3 linked regions of the Astyanax mexicanus genome follow. The protein of the gene in region 1 interacts with the protein of each later gene in a pairwise test. Links are inferred from orthologs where the notes say so. Each region holds a gene or a part of one and is shown on either strand. Other genes may lie near its edges. The genes, in order: atxn1a, zhx3b and ccnk.

What was found.
Region 2: the proteins of atxn1a (region 1) and zhx3b interact in binary tests that used the Homo sapiens proteins (3 or more experiments, as listed by UniProt). The link is inferred for Astyanax mexicanus from reciprocal best matches to the Homo sapiens genes ATXN1 and ZHX3.
Region 3: the proteins of atxn1a (region 1) and ccnk interact in binary tests that used the Homo sapiens proteins (3 or more experiments, as listed by UniProt). The link is inferred for Astyanax mexicanus from reciprocal best matches to the Homo sapiens genes ATXN1 and CCNK.

Annotation. Positions count from the first base shown.
Region 1 is NC_064410.1:43,978,130-43,985,768, reverse strand, and holds the start of atxn1a (ataxin-1a), read left to right. Parts: upstream 1-3,749; 5' UTR 3,750-3,925; intron 3,926-7,639. UniProt on the Homo sapiens protein: Chromatin-binding factor that repress Notch signaling in the absence of Notch intracellular domain by acting as a CBF1 corepressor. Binds to the HEY promoter and might assist, along with NCOR2, RBPJ-mediated repression. Binds RNA in vitro.
Region 2 is NC_064420.1:49,085,705-49,093,343, forward strand, and holds the start of zhx3b (zinc fingers and homeoboxes protein 3), read left to right. Parts: upstream 1-4,007; 5' UTR 4,008-4,553; intron 4,554-4,636; 5' UTR 4,637-4,803; intron 4,804-6,070; exon of another isoform or gene 6,071-6,290; intron 6,291-7,639. Other genes in the region: uncharacterized protein RAB5IF, read right to left, coding at 2,733-2,849. UniProt on the Homo sapiens protein: Acts as a transcriptional repressor. Involved in the early stages of mesenchymal stem cell (MSC) osteogenic differentiation. Is a regulator of podocyte gene expression during primary glomerula disease. Binds to promoter DNA.
Region 3 is NC_064408.1:54,981,586-54,989,224, reverse strand, and holds the start of ccnk (cyclin-K), read left to right. Parts: upstream 1-2,179; 5' UTR 2,180-2,509; coding exon 2,510-2,706; intron 2,707-2,817; coding exon 2,818-2,899; intron 2,900-4,044; coding exon 4,045-4,176; intron 4,177-4,589; coding exon 4,590-4,695; intron 4,696-4,799; coding exon 4,800-4,857; intron 4,858-5,028; coding exon 5,029-5,198; intron 5,199-5,338; coding exon 5,339-5,541; intron 5,542-6,132; coding exon 6,133-6,166; intron 6,167-6,280; coding exon 6,281-6,349; intron 6,350-6,607; coding exon 6,608-7,182; 3' UTR 7,183-7,639. Other genes in the region: 24-hydroxycholesterol 7-alpha-hydroxylase, read right to left, coding at 933-1,109. UniProt on the Homo sapiens protein: Regulatory subunit of cyclin-dependent kinases that mediates activation of target kinases.

The sequences.
Region 1 (7,639 bases):
ACACTAGGTGCTTTTGCAATAACGATATTCAATATTATTGCATATGATACAATATGACACATCTCTAGTATGGAGAGAGCACCTAGCTAGGTGAACTAGGTCAACTGAGCTATCTCTGACTCCAGCTGCTGGTGGCAAGCAGCATTATCTGCAAATGAACCAGTGATCCTCAGACCGACCACTTAACAGTTGAAGAACCCCCCTTTCTGTTGTATTCAAAGCAATGTCTCTATCTTTTTAAAATGATTTTAAAAGGGGGTCCACTACTAAAAAGAAACCATTTTGCTTTGAGTGTCCTCAGTGTCCTCACAAGCTCAGAAATATAAATTCACACATAGGAAAATTTGTTCACACCCATCTCTGGTACATTTCTCCTGAGGTTCACTTTGTTGAAGGTAGACTGTGTGTGTTTATGTGTGTATGTCTATGAAATTCCTTGAGGGCAGATCACTCATACGCAGCACACATACAGTCCCATGCCCAGAGAGAACAGCTATGTAATGAGGTAAACATGAGCTAAAAACACACTCTCACTCTCTCTGTGTCACTCTCTCTTATACTGTCTCACTCTCTCTCACTTAAACAAACACAATAATCAGAAATAGTATTATTTAAGAGAGCTGTTCCCATTCTCTTTAATTTATAAATTGTGGCATTCAAATATATTTATTTATATCTTGCATGAACAGGCCTGTGTATTGTGCAGTCAGTGTAGCTGAACAGGGCAGGAATGGTAATATATTCCCGGGTGGAGCGAGTAGAGTATGTGGTCTCCACAGTAACATAGCGACAAACACTTTGGAAAAGTCCCATCCGAGTCATGTTGAAGAAAAAATGACAGTGATTTTGCCGGCCTCTCTCTGAGTAAATAACATTTCTGGCCCTAAATTGAATGTTCGAAAACTCAAGCAGCAGCAGAGATAATGCACTTACATTTTCCCAGCTTGTTTACAGGGTTTTAACTGTGAGTGGTGGTCTAAAAGCCTTTTTAATGGGCAGAGCTTGATGTTTTTCTCTGTGTCTTCATTCGCAATTGCATCTGTCACCCCTAAACTTCACCTGTGGTTTTTAAGTGTTTCTGAGTGAGGACTGCTGAAGACATTCTCTCAGCTATGAAGGTGGATTCCAAGAATTTTAAACCTGAGGTAACGGGGTTCCGGTAACTTCCCCAAAGCTTACACGGCCTGTAGCAAGAAAAGTCATATACTATATTGCCAAAAGTACCGAGAAAGCTGCTCATTCATTGTTTCCTCTGAAACTAAGGGTATTAAAAGAGTATTTCATGCTTTTGTTGGAGTAACTGTCTTTACTCTCCAGGGATTTCTACTAGACTTTGGAGCATTGCTTAATTGCATTCAGCAGCAAGAGCAATAGAGAGGACAAGATGTTTGGATGATCATCACCCCAACTCTTCCTTAACTCATCCCAAATGTATTGGATGGAGCTCCACCATTCCAGAGAACACAGTTCCACTGTTTCACAGCTCAATACTGGGGACTTTTATACGACATTTTATCGACACCCAATTTTTTGCAATACAAACCTTTAGACAAGATAAGCTGTGTATGTGCATTAGCAACTCTGTGTCAACGATGGGTGTAACTTGAAGTAGGTAAAGACATTTAAAAGAAGGTGTGTTCCAATTTCAAACATTTAGTGTACTAAAAAAAGGGAAGTTATAAAATTTGCATATAAACAGGAAAATCAGCCAACATGAGATCATTTTTACTTTATAAAATGACTAAAAAAATGAATACATACTAAACACAAATACATAACAAACCCAAATTAATTACATTTAAGATTTCTGTTTATTTACACAGTTATCAGCACTTCTACTTACCCTGAACTCCTAATGATGTCACACAAAAGGATAAGGGTGTTTATTATTAGAAGTACTGTCTTACCCTTTGTGGTTTAGGCCAATTCCAGCATTATGTAAAAGGTATTTGGACTCATAATGTACTGCGATGTGTTGTGTACAGTATCGTGTGGTGCTGTAAACACAGGCCATGTGTGTATGTTGCACTGAGATCCAGGAGGAACGTTGTTTTGTTCCATGTTGTATTTGTGTATGGTTGGGAGTTCTTGATCTTGATCTCAGAGCACAAGGTTAGCACCTGTTATATAATGTGAATATGATGTAACCATTTCAGGTGAATACAGGCATATCTTCAAACCTTCAATTAAACATTCAAACCTTTAAACCTACATGTTACTAGTACAGTGTATGGGGCACATAATCAACAAATAGTTGTTAATATTTAAACCAGCTTTGTTAGCAAAAAATAACAATAATTTCTTATTATATATAAGTTAGTTGACAGACTTGCTGGGTTAAGCTCTTTCAAACAGTTCAATGGTTCAAAATACAAAGTTATAAATAATAACTAAAATTATTTTAACAAATTTTATACTTTGATTATTGAAGTAGAGGTTTGGGATTTTATACAACTTTATACAAATGGGTTATGGGCAGACCTTTTTGAGCATATTGTGTTGATTTTACGGATTTTTATATATTTGTATGCGTTGCATGATTTTTACTTCCTACTTATTTACAGTAACACTAACAACGTGAAATGAATAACATTTACAGTATTATCTGGTTACTATTGCACCTGCTAAGCGATGGAATATACAATATTAGGCAGCAAGTGAACTGTCAGTACCTGAAGTTGATGTGTTGGAAGCAGGAAGCCACTTTGATATGGTCTAAATAGTGATGGCTAGATAACTGGGTCAGAGCACATCCGAAAAATTAACCAGGTCTTGTGGGGTGTTCACATGTATACAACGGTCAGTACCTACAAAAAAGTGGCCTAATATTCACGGGGAACAAAGACATGCTTAAAAATAAAGATCTGATGGTAATGTCTGAATGACATGCCAAAAGTCACGGGATAGTAGTATATAATTTCTCTCATAGTGTACTGTACAACCCTGTGTCAGTATGATGACAATAATGGTGAATGCTAGAATGCCTGCTAAGGCTGTGATATAAAATATTAGGCAGCAAGTAAACTACCAGTATTTATAGGGAGCAAAAACATGTTTAAAAAAAGATCTGATGCTAATATTTGAATGGGATATTAGTATGTACTGTAAATTGATCATGAAGTGTTGGAATGCACTGGAGATCTTGTCCTGTTGTAGTGTACAGCTCTGTATCAGTATTATGGAACTGAATTGAGCGGTGCATTGTGGTGAAGTCCTTGTTTTGACAAGTCAAGGCTGTTTTAGTACCTACCTACACAATATGAGGCAGGTGCTTTTAAAGTTATGGCTGGTCCGTGTACAGTATACTGCCTACACACTTTATTGCAGTGATGGTGTCCCAGATTGAACGCAGTACCATTATGACATTGACATGGTCATTTGAAAGTGCTTTTATTCTTTTATAAGTGAAGCTAACATTTGCATTCAATGCATGCCCTTTTTAGTCTGTTATAACCTCTAACAGATTTATGCACAAGTCTCCAGTCTGCTGCTTCTGAACTGACTCTGAATGTAAGTAAGTAAGCCCTGCTAAAGGCTGCCCCCCTCCTCCTCGGGTTTTTTTTTATGAAACAGCCCAGGCTTCAAAGCCCTCAGCTAACGGGGCCGGCCAACTGCTCCATATTTGGGTTACACATTCACACACTCACACACGTACACACGCCCTCTCTCTCTCTCTTACACACACACACACACACACATATACGCACGCACACATACACACATACACACACACGCGCGCACGCACGCACTCACTCACTCCCTCGGTCACACACTTCCAGGAGGTGGGGGCATAGAGCCACAGAGCTATTAGCTCTGCTGCAGCAGACGTCGTGCTAGTTGAGGGGAGACGGTTCCACCGGCTAAAGCGGGCGCAGGAAGCCCCAACACGGAGAGCCGCGCACTTCACTGCCCGCTACAGCGCACAGTAAGTCCGCCCAATGCTCACCGGTTCTCCTGCCACTTTTACCTGCCTTTCCACCCCGAGTGAGAGAGAGAGTAGCGGAGAGAGAATAAAATGGCTGGAGCGAAAAGGAGACGCAGCGGATCAGAGACTGGCGTTCATATTTAAAAAAAAAAAATACAAAAATAAAGCTAAAAACTGAATATTTATCTTACTTTACCTGCTCTATCCAAATCCGTGCGTCTGATACAGTAAGTTTGACTGGATGACACCGTGCAGGGAGGCTGTTAAGTGAGTCTAAAACTAACACAACAACTCGAAGCGCAGAGCAGAGTGAGCGAGAGTAAGTGGGAGAGAGGGAGTCAGAGCGCGGGGGTTGGGGCGAGGCGAAGCCGGCCAGGGCGCGCTGTGGCCGGGCTGCTGAGGGAGGAGAGGGCGCTGGCCAACTTCCCCACAAGCTTCTCCGCTAACTAAGCTACACACGGCTCCGTGTTTTCGCACAGCGCTAGATAGTCGTTTGTACTTTTTGGAAACCGCCAGCGTGTCGCTTGTCGTGGCTTTTTAGCGTAGTTTTGTCTCTGTTTCCTAGCTGAGGAGACTCGCTTATGGGAATCGGGCTGCTGAACCAGAAAACACACAATTGCGGAAGTGTTGCTACGCGCTACGCTGTTTATTCGTAGAAACGGGGCGCCTGAGTTAACGTTACTGACAGCTCTCTCTCTCTTTCTCTCTCTCTCTCCTCAGCCACCACCGCGCTGAGTAAAGGTGACAAACAGCAGCTGGAGTTCAGCTCCTCCATTCATACTGTTTCTACTTAAAGCGGGATTGAGTGTGTTTCATTGACACTGCTGTGTGCGTGTGTGTGTAGTTAGCCTCCGGTGTGTGTGAGTGTGTGTGAGTCCAGCTCTGCTGGTTATATAATGAGCTGCTGGGATCTCTTCTGCTCCAGCTTACAGTATCTCCCTCTCTCCTCCTCCTTCTCCTCCTCCTCTTCTGTTAGTTTACATTCACATTATTTTATAACTGTGCCTTAAACACACGGAGATATATATGACTTCCTAAAAATATCGCTGTTTATTTTAACTGCAAAAAAAATATGGAACATTACAGTTGATGAAGGTGCTCGTGCTCATCTTACTGTATTGCATAAAGAGAAAAAGTTATGCAGTCAATAAAATATATGAATTATTAAATAGTAATAATAATAATAGTTGTATTATATAAACAAAATAGTTTTATTTTGATAATAATGTATAATTGCAATTGACTTCATTTGCCTAGGGGTGGACTGTTGCCCTCTGACCCTGTCCAATAAAGATCACTTTAATGCATAAACAAACAAATAAATTAATAAATAGAATGTATTTTCAATTTTAAGTTATTCACAACCTGCTCACATTCCCAGTGTGGTAAAGTAAGTAAGTAAAATTTATTTATACAGCACTTTTCACAGAGAGTAGACACAAAGTGCTTTACAACAACAAAAACATAGAAAATAAAATATACAATTGCCTTCCTAAAACATATACAATAAAATAAATAACAAAAGGAGAACACAGTGTTGCCAGGTACAGTTATCCAAATGCACGTTTAAAGCTTACTTTATCACAAAAATAAAATAAAATAATTAACATATTTATCAAAATATAGATAACCATTAACTGACAACTATCGAATTTGAAGCAGAATTAATGATACTATTTTAATAACATAATAGAAATAAATGTAATAACATTAAATGTATTTAAAGGTCCCCTTCCAATTAAGGTCACTTAAATGCATATGTAAATAAATAAATACATAAATAGAATTTATTTGCATTTAACCGCCATTCACAATCAGTCACAACCATATTTATTAAAATTATATAGAAACAGAATTATTGATAATTTGTTAATATCATAAAGAATTAAATGTACTTAAAAGTCCCTGTCCAATAAGAGAAACTTTTTCAATGCCTATGCAAATAAATAAATAGAATGTATTTGCCCTTTTACATTTCCTGTACTAAAAAAGCTTACTTTATTGTAAAAAGGGTAATTAAAAGCCCCTGTCCAAGAAAGGTCATTTTAATGCAGCATATCTAAATGTATTTGCATTTTTACTGTCATTCACAACCTGCCCACATTCCCTGTGCAATAAAAAGCTACTTTATTGCTAAAATAGGAAGTTAATTATTTAAGATTATTAAAGATAATAACAGAATTAGTGATACTGTAATAATAATATTAATATATATATATATATATATATATATATAATTAGGAGTTTCTAGATTATTGACATCAAATGGATGTTGATCTGAAGTAGAAGTGCTCAAATACTAAGCTTCAGTACAATCCAGTACATGCTACTTTACTGCATGCAAATATAAATAGGCCTACATCACTAAAATAAAATAAATGCATAAAGGAAATGCACTTTTTTAAACCATTTCTTGTCACATTGATGCTCAAGGTACTCATTTTATTGATCTAATGCAGGTCAATTTAATGCAAATATAAACAACAAACAAATAAATAAATGTATTTGCATTTTTCGGTTATTTATAGCATTGTATGTGCAGTTGAGGTGTTCATGTATCTTCACAAGCTCAGTCAGCTTCATTAAGCACTCATAAATGAAACAATGAATGAATGAATGGATGAATGAATGAATAATTGAATGAATGAGTAATGAGTAACCAATACAGTCGCATTGTTTTCAGATGATTCATAATGTCATGTATGTGATCAGGCTGTTTGGTTTCCCTGCTCAAGCTGGCAGTGGCTCACTGGAGCAGAACTGGAGCAGATATGTTGTTTTCCAAGCGAGAAAAAAAAAAGTTTTTAATCTCAAGAGTCTGACACGGAGGCGTTAATGCATCTAGCAACCGAAGAGGGAGTGTTGCTGATACAGACATAAGTGAAACAGTTATACAAGCCTCAGGATGCCACGGAGAGGGACGGATCTGTTGTGTTTCTCGCTCCTTTCCAAGCTGCTCTGGTTATATGATCCTCTAACTAGACTGTATCGTGCAGCTGTAAGATCATAAGAGCTGAGCGAGGAGTGTTGTGGAGCCGTTGCTTATGGCTGTTCTGTGAAGATGTGCTTGGAGCCTATTGTGGTGCTGTGTCAGGCCTCCAGTGTTGATCTATCCTCAGCACCACTTAATTTTAAATGCTGATGAGTTGTAATTAAGACAAAGTGTGGCCTAATCACAAGCGTGCTTGTGCGTCAGCTCATTTGTCTGTGTTGCACACACACACACACACACACACAAGCACATGCGCACACCCACATACACCCTAACACACACCTGCCACTGGCTCCTAAGTTGCTCATTCTTGTCAGTGTTTCTGTGTAAGTGCAGCTGCACCTTTAAAGGCACTAAATGTGTCGTAACGGGCTCAGTGAGCTGGAGCATGGCGAGCGGGTGACAGGTGCAGGCGAGGCTAACCTTTCACGCTCGAGTGCCAGTGAAATATGGAGGGACACACCTCCACCTGCAGATACGGCTTACATAATACAGCTGTGATTGACAGGGGTAGTGTCAGCCAATGACAGAAGAACTAAAAGTTAGTTAACGCTGCGAAAGGGGCGTGACTGGCAACAGCCTCAAAAACTTGGCTTCACCTTCACTTTTTCCTGAGAACACTTTGTCACATTAGGCCTATCCGGACAAGATCTTTGCATACACTCCCTTACAGGTGTGTGTGTGTCTGTGTGTGATTATGAGTGTGTGTGTGTGTGTGTGTG
Region 2 (7,639 bases), on another chromosome or scaffold:
AACAAGAAAAAAAAACAAGAAAATCGAGAATCGAATCGAATCGTGACCCTCAAATCGAAAATGAAATCGAATCGAGGATTTAGAGAATCGTGACACCCCTAATATATATATATATATATATGTGTGTGTATATATATATATATATATATATATATATATATATATATATATATATATATATATATATATATATATATATATATATATATATATATATATATTCAAATAATCACTCACTCATTTCTCTTTTGTACCCCTTGTTTTTTTGTGTAACAGAGCTATCCCTTGCCCTAAGAATTTGTACAACCTTTTAAGCAGTTATAGTTATAGCAGTGGAGCGCTAAAGTTCATCAACCTAACTGCTGGTTAACTAGTTAATTTTATGGCCTTTTATGCCTTCAGAAAGTGTAAAAAATGATTATTGTCCGACCCTTAATTGGACTAGCTTTTATTTTATTTTTCCGTTTCACCTTAAATGCTGCAGCCATCTGTTGCACCATTTAAGGTGGACAGGAAAGTTAGCTAGCTACTGAACTACATACTGAGACAAACTACTTGTGAATTTCTTTGTGCTTGTTAGCCCTAAAATATTGAAACTACACATTAAACTATGGTAATACAGTGGTTTCCCCTCCCCCTCCATTCTAACAAGAATCGAGACACCCTCCCCCTAGGTGTGTACATGCAAAACAGAAGGGTAGGGATAAGTGGCTCAATTTAAGATAAATGTTCTTTCCTTTATAGCCTCTTTTAATCCCTTAACACTCTCTTACTCACATTCTCTTGTATTCTCTCACCATTAACACTGATAACTCGCCTCTTTTACACTTTTTACACTCTAAATACTCTCCTACTACTCACTTATTCTCTGTCTCTCCCCAGTCGTTATCACAATTTAATCTTGTTTACACTCTCAACTCTCTTTGTAATCTCTCTCTCTTCATATTCGAACAGTCTCCTTTTTTTTTTACTCACTCACACTGTCACTCCTTTATACTTATTTTCTTTCTCTCTACACTCTCATATCAATGGCTTTCTCTCCATTATACTCTCATACTCATTTATACTAACAACATACTAACATCTTCTCTGTCTTCTATATTCCATCATTTATACTGTCTTTGACTCTTTATACCCTCATACTCTCTCTTTATTCATATGCACTTTCATGACAAATTCAATATACTCCTCTTTATACATTAATACTAAAATTTTCTGTTTTACAGTCTTATTTAAACTCTCTCACCTTCTACACGTTGTATATAGATTTTTTTATACATATTTTGGACACTTCTGCCCTGTCCTCTACACTGCTGTAATATTGTAATTACTAAAGGATAATCTTATGCTCCAGTCCTCACACTCTTCCCTATACCCCTTATTTTTGTCTTTTATAGTTTTTCTTTTATACTGTCTGTCAGCTTTTGCATCCTCATACTCATTTGTTTACTTACATTTACACTCATTCATAGTCTTTACCATTAGACAAACATATTTTACGAATATAGTCTCCCTAATACTGTTTGTTTCCTTTATATATTCACATTCTCTCACTCTAATTTGTGTTTATACTCTCTTCTCTATACTTTAAGTCTCTTTCACCCTCTACTTCTCTTCTATACTCCTCTTACACTCCTTTTATCACCTTTATACCACAATACACATTCACTCACTCACTCACCTTCACTCCCCAATACTTCCATTCTCTCTGATCCTTTTATATTCAAAATAAACCTCTTTACACTTTTGTACTCATTCACACCCTCCTATTTAAGTGCTTATAGTCTCTCACACCCAGTCTCTATCGCTGTACCCATGTTTTACACTCAAACCTCTCACTTTTAACATTGTGTGCAATGTCTCTACTTACATACTGTTTGTTTACTTGGTCACTGAATACCAAAACACATATTTTGGGAAATTATTTTTCATTATCATATATTTTTGGTATATTTTTGTGTATATTTCCTGACATTTTTGTGTTGCTGTAATATTGTAAACTGGGTGGCATTAATACTCCATACTCTCTCTCTTTTTTACATCCTCATACTCGTATTTCAATACTCCCAATCTCTCTTTCTCTAAATCCTATATTCTCTGAACTACTCATTCTCTCTGATTTCTATACTCAAATACTCGTATTCTCTCTCTGATTACAATACTCAAAATACTCACATTCTCTCTCTGATTACAATACTCAAAATACTCACATTCTCTCTCTGATTACAATACTCAAAATACTCACATTCTCTCTCTGATTTCTATACTCAAATACTCACATTCTCTCTCTGATTTCTATACTCAAATCCTCGTATTCTCTCTCTGATTACTATACTCAAATACTCACATTCTCTCTCTGATTACTATACTCAAATACTCACATTCTCTTTTTGATTACAATACTCAAAATACTCACATTCTTTCTGATATCTATACTCAAATACTCACAATCTCTCTCTGATTACTATACTCAAATACTCACATTCTCTCTCTGATTACAATACTTAAACCCTTACAAACTCTCTCTCAATTATGTACTCAATTACTTACATTCACTGACTTTGATTTATAGTTACTCATATTTTCTGAATTCTATACTAAAAAACTCACATTCCCCCTCTGATTTCTATACACAAAAATGCTTAATTTTTTTTCTTTCTTTGACTTGTATAGCCAAATACTAACATTCTCTCTCTGATTACTATAGCCATATATAATGTGTTTATATGTACCTTATCCTCCCACACTGCTTTGCTGCTCACTGCTTTACTCCATGTGTTCAGTTTGACTCCGTTACTCTGAGCTGCTGATTCCTCTTTCTTCTTGCTGCTGCTGGTGCTGTTCTTCATTCTCGGGTTCGGGTTCTGGTTCTGTCTCGATCTCGGATGAGTTTTGTGGTTTTATGTTTTTAAGCTGCAGCTTCTTTTGGCTCTATTTCGCTTTCAACGCCGTTCATTAATGCTGTGTGCTAAAGCCTCACTGCGCATGCGCCTCTCTGGCCATTCAGACACTGCGACGTCTGTACTTCTCAACCAATCAGAAAATTTCCTTTAAATCCGAGAAATGGCAAGGAAAACACTAACAGCGCCACCTGTTGGAGAGGAGTGCGCAAGGAAGCGTTAAATAAATAAATAAATAAATAAATAAATAAATAGTGCACTATGAATTCAATTAACCATACAGTATTATTTTACGCTATATGATAATAAATCAACAATGTAAAAAAAGATAACTAATAATATTTAACTTAATGCATAGATTATTTCTCATTATTAATTAAAGTTATTTACAGTAGAGTTAAATAAAATAGTGAACAAGAAATAAAGTAATAATACAATCAAACGAAACCATAGTCAGTCATAAAACATTCAACATCAAAACAAAAATGACAAAAATACAGTTATATTAATACATACATTTATTTTTATTATTAATTAAAGTTATTTACAGTTAAATATATAAACAGTTAAATCATAAAACATTTGACATCAAAACAAATGACAATAAACAGATATATAGTTCAGTAAAAGTGTTTATTTCATTTTAAAAATGTTTTAGGAACATACAGTCTAGGTGAACGTGCAATAGAAGAAAGCATAAATGCAATACAGTTAAAATATTTCTCAAATTAAACAACATAATAAAATACATTACAGTCCTAACTCCCAAAAGTTAAAAGTAAAATGTGAACAATGTCAAGTCAATCCATCTAGTACAAATGAACAAGTACAAATAAACAGTGCAATGAAATTCTGTTCCTCCGGAACCAATACAGTTCAACATGGAACAACAGTACAATATAGACAACAATAAAGTAAAGATGTTCAACAAATTGTGCAACATAGAACTAGAACACTCTATAAATTCAGCAGACATGAGACAATATAGTAGACAGGACAGTGCAGTACCAACACATTACAGTCTATTTGTGTGTAAGAATAAGGTGTAGAGATTTGTAACATACTGTAACAGGTACATGGTCACAGCAGGTAGAGAATATACCTTACTAGGTGGTATTCAGAATTAGCAGCAATTATTGCTAATAGGGATGGAAACAGTTTCAGTCACTGTGTATTGAGAGTGTTTGTGTATGTGAGGACTGAGGGGGTCATCTACAATGCAGAAGTAAATAAAAAACAGAATTAAATCATTTTCCAGTCGAAATAAACATACATTTTATTCACAATATAACTTGGAACACAAATTACATGTGATTTCCATGATGTTCTATTTGTGAAAGGTCTGGAGGGCAGGCAGGTAAGTTCAGCATCCTAGCTCTTCTTCTGTGAAGCCATGCTGCTCTAATGGGTAAAGTATGTGATTTAGCATTATCTTACTGTCCAATATCCAATGCCTTTCCTTAAAAAAATGTTGTCTGGATAGGCACAGATGTTCTTCTAAAACTCCTCTATACTGTTCATAATCTGTCGTAATCTGTCTCTATGTGTGTCTATCTGCAAGGCTGCAGGCTACCACCATCCGACCGTCCCAGGGCGTTAAATATAACACAGGCATTCGCTTTCGGAACGAAGAATTTGCGTGCAGTGAAAATGGTAAGCAGTTCATAAGGTGACCACCTGGTGGTTGAAATATAACTGGAAGTTTTCCTCATGCTTAACACAAAGTCTCTTTACAGATAGAGTCCTACCTTTCAACATAGAGCCAATCAGCTTGCTGGTAAAGCTGGAAGAGGAGGAGGGACAAGGTGGCACTATTGGAAAAAAGCCCCTAATGGATGTAATTGTGGTTGGTGGGTCCTGGGTCACCCTGTCAGTCAACTGTGGAGCTTCAAAAGCGGCAAAGGTAAGCAGGGAAACTGTGCCACTCACAGGCTTACACAGGAAAAGCTGATGTGGACAGACTTAAGTGTACCAATGAGACACAAAAACAACTGATGACATGACAGTAAAAAAAAAAAACACAAATGAATACAACAGTAATGTTTAAAAATAATATTAATAATTTTGTGATGTACAATTTTTAGTTTAAAGCTTCGGGTTTGGAATGGTTGTGAAGCCTGGATGTCAGTCTGTCTATCTGTTTGCCTATTTGTTTGTCTGTTTATATATCTATATATCCTAGAGTTGGACAATATACTGATATTTAATTTTATTGTGATAAAATGTCTTACTATATTGATAATAAGCATATTGAGAATACCATCCGTGCTTAAAGATTTTTATTACAGAGAGTGATCTGTGCACGAAAGAGTATTTATATTGCAGGATCTGCCACTGCTGTTGCTTTTTGTCTGTCAAAATATGGCTTTTATACAGTTTGCATCCATATCAGAATTACATTCTATTGACTGAAATTAATATATATACATTGTAATATATATATATATATATTTGCCTTATTGTCCAGGCCGAACACATACCTTTTATTTATTTATCAATACTATATAATAGATCTGATTCTCTCAGCATTAACAACTATTTAAAAAGCTTATGACCCTTCTTAAAAACGGCGAACAAATAAAAAATAATGGACCTGTTTTTTGCATGTAAGATAATTAGCTCTAGCCCATTTATCTGTCTGTCTGTCCAAAATACAGACTAATACACACACACACACACACACACACAGGGGTGGACGTGTTGCTTGCTAGGTCAAAATTTCAGCAAAACATATATTATGTGTTATATGTGTTATAGATTTTTGCGTCTGGCCCTAATATATCCCTACTATTTATCTATCACTATTATCTGTCTGTTTGTCTGTCCAAAATACAGATAAATAAAGACCAAAAACAACTTCAATTTCACATTAAACAGCACCAGCACAAACATTTAAAAAAGAATGAACAAACAATAATGAAATAAATAAAAAATATCAAAAACTACCATTGCTTTGAGTCATAAAAGAAATATAAATCAGAATAGGTCATCATTTCTGATTTATGCTCCTTAAAACGCTGAGACAATTGTGAATAAAATATTTTGCTGAAATTATGACCCAGCAAGCCACACACACACACACACACACACACACACACACACAGAGGTGGGTGTGTTGCTGCTCCATGATGTCAGCAGGGCTGAGCTGATGACGCAGCGAGCCACGTGACCCGCGGAGGTGGGGGTGCGTTTGGTGTCTCTGGGCCTGTTTGAGCACAGCGGCAGCAGCAGCAGCGCGAGCGGAATAAACACACGCGGAGAGGAAGGAGCAGGAGGCCGCGAGACCCGACCGCTCACTGTCTGTATCTCTCACCTGTCTAACGCTAAGCTCTCCATTCATTTACACCCGCGCGCTGCCCCGGGGTTCTGTTTGGACCGCGCGAGCGCTCGGTAGGTCTACTTTAGTACCTGTTTCTCTGTTTAGGGGGGCGCGCGCCTGTGGGGGCAACATAAACTGTATGTAGAGTTTTGTTTGTGTGCGTGCGTGCGTGCGTGCGTGCGTGCGTGTGTGTAGGGGGAAAGTTGCGCGCGCACGATTTGGGTAACTGAGGTGTGTATTGGGTAAGATGGCGACAGTAGAGGTGGGGGGCGAGTCTAGTTTTTTTGGGGTGGGGGGGCTTTTTGGGTTTGATGTGTGTGTGTGTGTGTGTGTGTGTTGGTGTGTGTGTCGCCCCGACACACTCCAGATGGCAACAATTCATAGATCAGGTCCAGGCTGCTTTCAGAATTTCTTGGTGTGTGTGTGTGCTTTGGTTTTATTGTGTTACTAACACACACACACACACACACACAGTTATTCTAGTGTTTTGTGTGTGTGTGTTACAGCCTTTATCTTTATCTAATATATATTAATATAACATAGCAGCAACTATTGTTCAGCACCTCCTGGAACTCCTTCAAGATGCTGAGAAAACTATTCTAGCTGACTCTCCCTCATGAAGACACTGAGATTAAAATACCAAGAGTGAGCAGATCTGTCCTCAAAGATATGTGTGATACTTAATTAGAAGAATCTATAGTATAAAACACATTCTTGTTTGTTTAACACCTTTTTTACCTTAAAAAATTCCATGTTTAGCTGTATAGCTTTAATATCTTTCATTTTAAATTTTAAATGTACATTATAACAAAATAATAGTAAAAAAAAATCACATTGGATGAGAAGCGGTGTGTCCAAACGGTTGTCTACTACAGTAAACCACAGTATAAAATGTCAAAGTTTTGACAAAGTGGATTGCCACCCTATAATTTAGTGGTGTAGATGTAAACAGTTATTTAGCTTTAGGTAGGGCTAGAAAACATTTCAATATCAATATATATATATATATAGTGAAACGTTTCAGTGGTGGTGATTGCGGCATCTGTCCCTGATGGAGTTTATTACAGGGCACATTACATCAACTGGGAAACTCTTGTCATCAGGTAGTTCTGAGGCTTTATTTAGGTATTATCTATTTAAATTTTAATGTATTGACTGAAATGAGGAAATCTCTTGTGTTGTAAATTTGCCCATATCATCCAGCTCAGGTTCAGAGAGGATTAAGTGTGAACTTGTGAAATTTGCTGTAGAGAAACTTCACACAGTGATGCTACTTACTCTGGCGGGAAATGTGTGGAGAGAGTGAGATATGCCAAAAGTTTTATCGTAATATATCTTATTTAGGGATGCACAATGATATCGAAATTCTCTCTGTATTGAGCAATAATAGCTTTCTTTTAGAAACATTGGTTCAATGCCT
Region 3 (7,639 bases), on another chromosome or scaffold:
TTTAAAACTGTCTGTTTTAAATTCAAATAATTAAATAAGTCCACTGCCTTTGAAATTAGACTACTGTCTACTGTCTTTATCTACTATCCCATAGAAAGAAATGGACAAATTATGTTTCTTTTTTTTCTTCTGCAGATATCATACCAAAAATACTTATCAAAATGAATAAGCATCAATCAAATTTAAATGTTAAGCTGTTAGCTAAACTTACTTTCTGAGAATTGTATGTTGTAGTTGTTTTACTCATGTTGTGGTTGAGTCTAAATTAAAAGACAATGCTGAAATAGCTTGACAACTAAAATAAATGTTGTCTCTCATCAGTGTTTCTCTCAACACTTCTACCTGCTCACAACGATACTATGATACACTATGATACAGCAACTCTACTGTGTTTCTGTGTGTCCAAACACAGACACTCAACACTGCTGCTGAAAGGGGAGGAGCTGGACTTCTGACCTTTCATAGTCCTCTAAAGATCAGCAGAGTGTGATGTCATTAACATCTGGCTATTCAGGAGGCTGCATTTATAAGGAGTACATGAAATGTTAGGGACTTGTAAATAACATCCATGATAATCTGATTTTAGATTTGATTTTACTGCAGATTAATTTTTATATTATTACTTTTATATATTCAAAACTCCTTAATGTGAAACAACACTGACAACTGTGAAACATTAATACGTAATATTGTACAACAGTCGATGTGTTTGCTTTAACTTATCTTATAAAGTCTGTAAATGTAGTGCATCTCCTAAAAAACTGTAGTGAAAAAAACATATCCATCATGTTTTTTTACAGTGCCCCTTCTTGCTATAAAAATATAAAAAACAGGTATAAAAAAGCTGTTACAGTAGGAATTTAACATTGATATGGCATTTTGGACAATATAAGGTCTGCAGGACGTGCTGCTTTTAACACTGAGACGCTTACCTTAGCTCTTGCACGTGCAATGAAATGCAGAGGCTCTTTTCCAAACTCAAAGGCAGCTCCAACCCACGGGATCCATCCTCTGATGCACGGAGGGGCGTTCGGGTTGTTCTGAAGGAAGAGAAGCCGAAAACAAAGGACGACGACAGTCACTAAGAGAAGTAGGGTAAACCACTCCATCACAGTTAAGTAGTTTAACGAACGCTCTCCTGTCCGGCTAGTGGTTTCTCCTCAGTCGTGGGACCGATATTAACAGGGCCAGTATACCAGGCTGACTCCCCTACAGGACAGGCGCCGCTACTTCAGCAGCCCACACTGACCGGAGGAATACCCGCCAGAGAGTCTCCCCGGGTAAATGAGTTCACATGGAGCAAATAATCAAAACAAGAGCTCATCTATGTTTAAAAAATATTCTCTAAATATAGAACCACAGTAAATATTTCAGTAATGAAGGCATGTAAGCCTATACGTTTTCAGACGTGCTCTGGCTGCTACTTCATAATCAGCTCATCAACTTTCTAGAATTAAAGACATTTCCTGGACAAGCAGTTAGTTACTGGTTTTTAGTTTACTGATTTTAGTTTTTAGCCTTTTATCTCCATTCATTCCTATACATTTATAACTTAATTCAATCAATTCAATATTGATTATTTTGTTTTAAACTTCACTTAAATATAAACGGCCCCACTGACTGTGGTAAAAAGTGATCCCCTTCAGTGAAGAAAATGTGATGTGTTCCCCTTATAGATTTCCTCATAATAGGATAGAGTTAACAACAAAATGAACTGTGTCATCAATGATCACAAAGTTTAAAAAGCATAAACTGTTACTTATTTTCCTTTAAATGGAAAATCTCCAATGAAAATACTGTGTAGTCCATTGTACCAGAAACAACAAAAACAATAATAATAACAATAATAATAATAATAACAATAATAAAAACAATAATAATAATAATAATTATTATTATTATTATTATTGTTGTTGTTGTTGTTATTATTGTTGTTATTATTATTTTTGTTGTTATTGTTATTATACACATAAAAAAATAATGTAGGATTTCACACATAGGTTTAGCTGTGTTCAATATGCATGCTAATTAATGCCAGTTAAGTGTATATACTTTTTTTTACTTTGATAAGTGATCCCACCACATGTTGGTGGGAGCTCCAGGCATGAGGTGCAGAGAGTGGAGAGATTGTGGAGAGAGTGGAGAGATTGTGGAGAGAGTGGAGAGGCAGCAAGCGGAGGAGAATCATTCTCCACCAGTTGGGGGCGACCGTCGCTCTTATCTGTTTGAAGCGTCCTCCCCGCGCGAGGAAGAGTGCGGTGCGGCTGTGTGTGTGTTCCTGTGTTCAGGTGTGAAAGAGAGCTCAGAGAAGCGGCGCTGCACGCGGTGTAGAGCGCCGGTATTCTCACAGTGCTCCGGGCCGGGCTGCGGGAGAGTCTGCGGGCGCTGAGGGAGAGGAGCGGAGCTGAGCTTCAGTGAGAAGGAGCCGCGGGTCCGCCGGCCGCGCTGAGGAGAAGCAGCAGCTCTTTGTGCCTCCAGCTTTGTGAGCAGCACTTCCGATCTGTGTCAAATGAAGGAGAACAAGGAGAACTCCGCTCTCAGCAGCTTGACCACTAATCTGGACCACATCAAGCCATGTTGGTACTGGGACAAGAAGGACCTGGCCCACACCCCATCCCAGTCCGAGGGCCTGGATCCGGCCACTGAGGCCCGATACCGGAGAGAGGGGGCCCGCTTCATATTCGACGTTGGAACTCGACTGGGACTGTATCCTTCATTTCCTTCTGCTCGTGTTGTTTTAAAACCCTGTATTACTGTGTGCTGATGCGCGACTTACCGCTTTAACCTGTTTACCCTTAACATTTCCTCCTTCAACAGACACTATGATACTCTGGCCACAGGGATTATTTACTTCCATCGCTTCTACATGTTTCATTCCTTCAAGCAGTTCCCGAGATATGTAAGTGTGGTCCGGCTCTGTGTAACACTGTCTTGAAACAGTACTGTAGGTATGGGGATAAACCACCCCAGATTTGCACTGGATCCTATTTACAGTGTACAAACAGTTCCTGATTTGTTTGTAAAAAAATTTGTGAAGAAAAAAAACAGGAGTCAGATGCATACTGCCCATAATTATATTTTTATTATATATATATATATATATATATATATATATATATATATATATATATATATATATATATATATATATATCATATTATATATTATTTTATAATTATATTTGTGATGTGCTTTTTGCCATTGTAGTTTTGCCAAAGTGGTCGTATTCTGTCTTTGTAGGACTCTGGGGGGTCTGTAGATATTAATGAATTAAAATGTTATTTTTATGTAATAGGCATTTTAATTAATAATAAATATTTATTGACATAAAGATAATGGTCAAAGACTTTGTGTAATAACGTGGTTTATTAGTATTTTAATAACAAGGGGATAAATAGTTCCAGTGTTTTTCCAAATAATTAACAAATTAATGTAAAAGTGTAACACTTTTTATTTAAAGAGCGATATAGGAAAAAAAAATGTATAGTTGCTTACCTAAATGGCAACATGTAAAACTTTCCATTAAGCTTACAAATCCTGTATATTAAGTAGCTTGGTTATCTCAACATTTTATGTAGTCAGCAATTGAATAATGACAATGGCAATTTAAATCACAACGGATCAATAAATTAATATTCAGTAAATGGTTTAATTTGTCAAGTAAATAAAAAAAATGAAAGGAATAAAATGGGCATCTTAAAATTGCTTACAAGTCCAGGTAGGACAGTCCTGCCCAACCATATTGGTGACCTCTGCTTCACATGAGTCTTACCTAATATCTCTCATAAGCTATGATTTAGTAATATTTTAATGGAGGGCAGTATTGTTGGGATGAGGGGCGAGAAGTGGAAAGAGTTCATGGATGCCTGTGGGTTACTGGCACAGTCTTTTAACAAACTTGTGACAAGTCAACATTTATTTTCTTATCAACTAAAAAAACATAGCATAACAGTACCGTTGGAATACGGTTATTTATCATTATGTTGCTTGACATTGTCCTACAACAGTTTAGGTGAAAGAGGTTGTTTTGCTTTAATTTTCCAGGTCACAGGGGCTTGCTGTCTGTTCTTGGCTGGAAAGGTTGAGGAAACTCCAAAAAAGTGCAAAGACATAATAAAAACAGCTCGCAGCCTGCTTAATGATGTGCAGTTCGCCCAGTTTGGGGATGATCCAAAGGTAAACATAGAGTCAGAAGCACATACTGTAAGGTCTGTAAGTATTCAGCACCTTATTTTATTTCCATATGTAAGTAGTAAAACAAGTTGAGATTACAGTCTTGTCAGCATTTTACACATTGGAATATTTGCTGGATCAGTTTAATTGTTTTTTCATTATTCTGAAAATAAATAGCTTGAAGGATGCTGCAAAGAAGCAAACACTCTAGTTGAATACATTTAGCTTAAATTGTTTTCTAAAAGGCATATGTAACATATGGACTTGTACATTTAAGTTTTTTGTTACATTTTTACTTTGTAGTGTTTTGATTTGAAGACATTCAGATTCTGAAAACATGCCTATTTCTGACCTCAAACTGTACTGTAAATGTTGATTTTTGTGAATAGTTTGGTTTGTATAACTTTTATTAACAGGAAGAAGTTATGGTGTTGGAGAGAATATTGCTTCAGACAATAAAGTTTGATCTGCAAGTAGAGCATCCATATCAGTTCCTTTTGCGTTATGCCAAACAACTCAAAGGTATATGATTTTGGTGCCATTTTTGATGTTGCATTACAGACATTTAGGTTTTGTTTGTTTATTTATTTGCATGTTTGTTTGTCTTGTTAACTGCTGTTTTTCAGGAGACAAGAACAAAGTGCAGAAGCTGGTGCAAATGGCCTGGACCTTTGTGAATGACAGGTTAGCATTAAAACCAACCTGCATTTTAATTGTCCTTCTCATGGAGAGCTGTTTGGTTTATTGTAAATTAGAGCAATCTGCAATTGTGAAATTTAGGGAATTATTATTCATTTTTAATATTAAAGATTAAGCAGACTGTGTGGTATAAGCAATTTTGTTTGGTTTTTCCAGCCTCTGCACAATGCTGTCTCTTCAGTGGGAGCCAGAGATTATAGCTATTGCTGTCATGTACTTGGCTGGTCGTCTGTGCAAGTTTGACATTCAGGAATGGACTTCCAAGCAGTCATCCCGTCGCTGGTGGGAACAGTTTGTGCAAGATGTTCCTGTGGAGCTGTTGGAGGGTAGGATGCTTTAATGTGTATTTAAATGTGTGTGTGTGTGTGTGTGTGTGTGTGTGTTATGGGAGTGCTAAAACTGAACAAGATGACACAAAAGTCTTTATAGCAAGTTTGAAAGATAATTGCTTGCCTTTCTTTCTCAGATATCTGCCACCAAATCCTGGATCTATATTCTCAGGGCAAGCAGCCCATTCCACAACAGCCCCAGTTGCAGGAGAAAGACAAGCCACCGCTACCTCCTGCAGGCCAGCCAGGCCAGTCTGGAGGTCAAAACCCTGCAGCTCCACCTCCACCTAAGAAAAACTCTCCCCAGGCCAGCCCCCCACGGCAGCTTAAACGACAGCACGTTAGTTGAATATTTATTTTGTCAGAGTTGTTGGGTTGAAAGGCTTAATTTAATGTTTGTATATGTAATTAATTTTATTTTAAGTAAATATGTTGAGATTATTAATGCTTAGCTGTACATTTGTACCATGTCAAATATTTTTGGTTTAAACTTTTATTTCATGTCCATTACAGATAGATGGCTTGTGAGATGTGTAGCGAACATACAAATACACTGTTAATTGTTGAAAAAATAGCTGCACCATGAAGGAAGTGTTTGATTTTTAGATTCAGGGCTTACCCAAGCGTAACTCTAACCCTAAAATGCCACTTCTTCTTCAACTGCACGAATTGTATTGGAAATCTTCTCCACTTGTAAGGGATACTACCAAGAGCAGGATTCATAATAAAAAGCATTCTTATATAATCAGTCAGGATTTGCATCATTGTGAAAATTAGTTATATGCCCCATGACTGATTATGCATATATGCATGAAGTGAGGCATAATTGTCAAGGATGTAAGCATTTTTATCTTTAGTCATGAACAGTACTCCCCACTAAAATGAATTGCTAGTTATGTATTGAAAATTATTTTTAATCCTCTTTTTTTAGGTTTCGCCAAAAGAAGAGTCAAAAGTTGCCACAGGTATAGATCGGCTTTTTTCCTAGAACTATTTAAGCTGGTTACAAATGTGCTGTTTGTCAATGACGTTTTTGTTTAACTTCATGCATGCTAAACCTTTTTTGTTTTTATTTGCAGAGCAAATTGGCTCTAAAATACCACGGCTAGAGAGTCCAATGCCTCCCTTACCAGTTACTCAGCTACTTGGTAAAAACCTCAGTTGTTGCACTGTTCCAGGGTTAGGTTTAATACTTGTCTAAGAAAACTGAACCAAATTACCTAGTAAAAGTTTCAAAATATAATTGACTTATTTAATTACCATCTTTGAAGTTCTTTAAATAATTTTAACATTTTCATGTATTGATGGTTGTAAAACCGAGCTTAATACTTAGTTTAAACAAACTACACTAATAAATTTGGGTTAATATTTTTTTACTTCAATACTTTAAATGTTTCTCTATTTAGATCGCAAAGGCCCACCCTTAGCCCCGGCCCCTCCAACAGAGACAGAACCAGCAGCCTCAGCTGACTCAGACTTATCCAAGGCACCTCCTCCTCTGCCCCATGGAGCTCCACCGCCTCTGCCTCATCGGCCTCCACCTCCACCCCCCTCCAGCTACATCATGGGAATGTCCACTTCTAGTTCATATATGTCGGGTGAGGGCTTCCAAAGTCTGCAGTCCATGATGAAGACAGATGCACCATCATATGCCCCTATGCCCCCTTCATATGGAATGCCTTATCACCCGCACGTTTACCCTCCTCCAAACCCTCCACCTCCTGGCCCTCCACCACCTGCAAATTACCCACCTCCTAACCTTCCACCGCCCACCCCGGCCTACCCTCCACCAGGCTACAATCACAATTACCCTCCTCCTCCCCCTCGCATGCCCCCAGGACATGCGGTTCCTCCGCCAGGAATAGGTTTGCCTCCTGCTGGGTATCCCCCTCCGCCAGTCCCCCCAGGCCAGCCGCAGGTACCCATGCCCCCTGGCATGCCGCCAGTGTCTGGGATGAATCGCGGAGCATGGATGAGATGAAGACGGGTTGTGTAAGGGGTGCAGCTGAAGCTCATTTCAAAATACCGTCTACCAAAAGCATCATCAGTCACCTAACTCAGGAAGGTCAGAACGTCATTGTATTGTTTAGTCATGTTATTTGTTTGTGAGAAACTCATGACTTACACTATTAACCTTTATTTGATTTTTGCCTGATTTCTGTTTTAAGGATATAGATGTAGAATCTTCATGTTTAGAAATATTATATATATGTGACGTTAGCATGTTTTTTTTTTTTTTTTTTTGGGGGGGGGGGGGTTGCTTTTGTTTTTTTCTAAAATGCAGATGTAGGACATCAGTAGGGTCTGTGTAAATATGAGAGGAATCTGATCCTTAATGACATCTATTTTTACTCTAGAAAGCTTCATGAATGTGTCCCAACAACTCAAATAGTTTTAAAATGACAGCACTGACTTGGCTCCATATATTACTGTTCTGT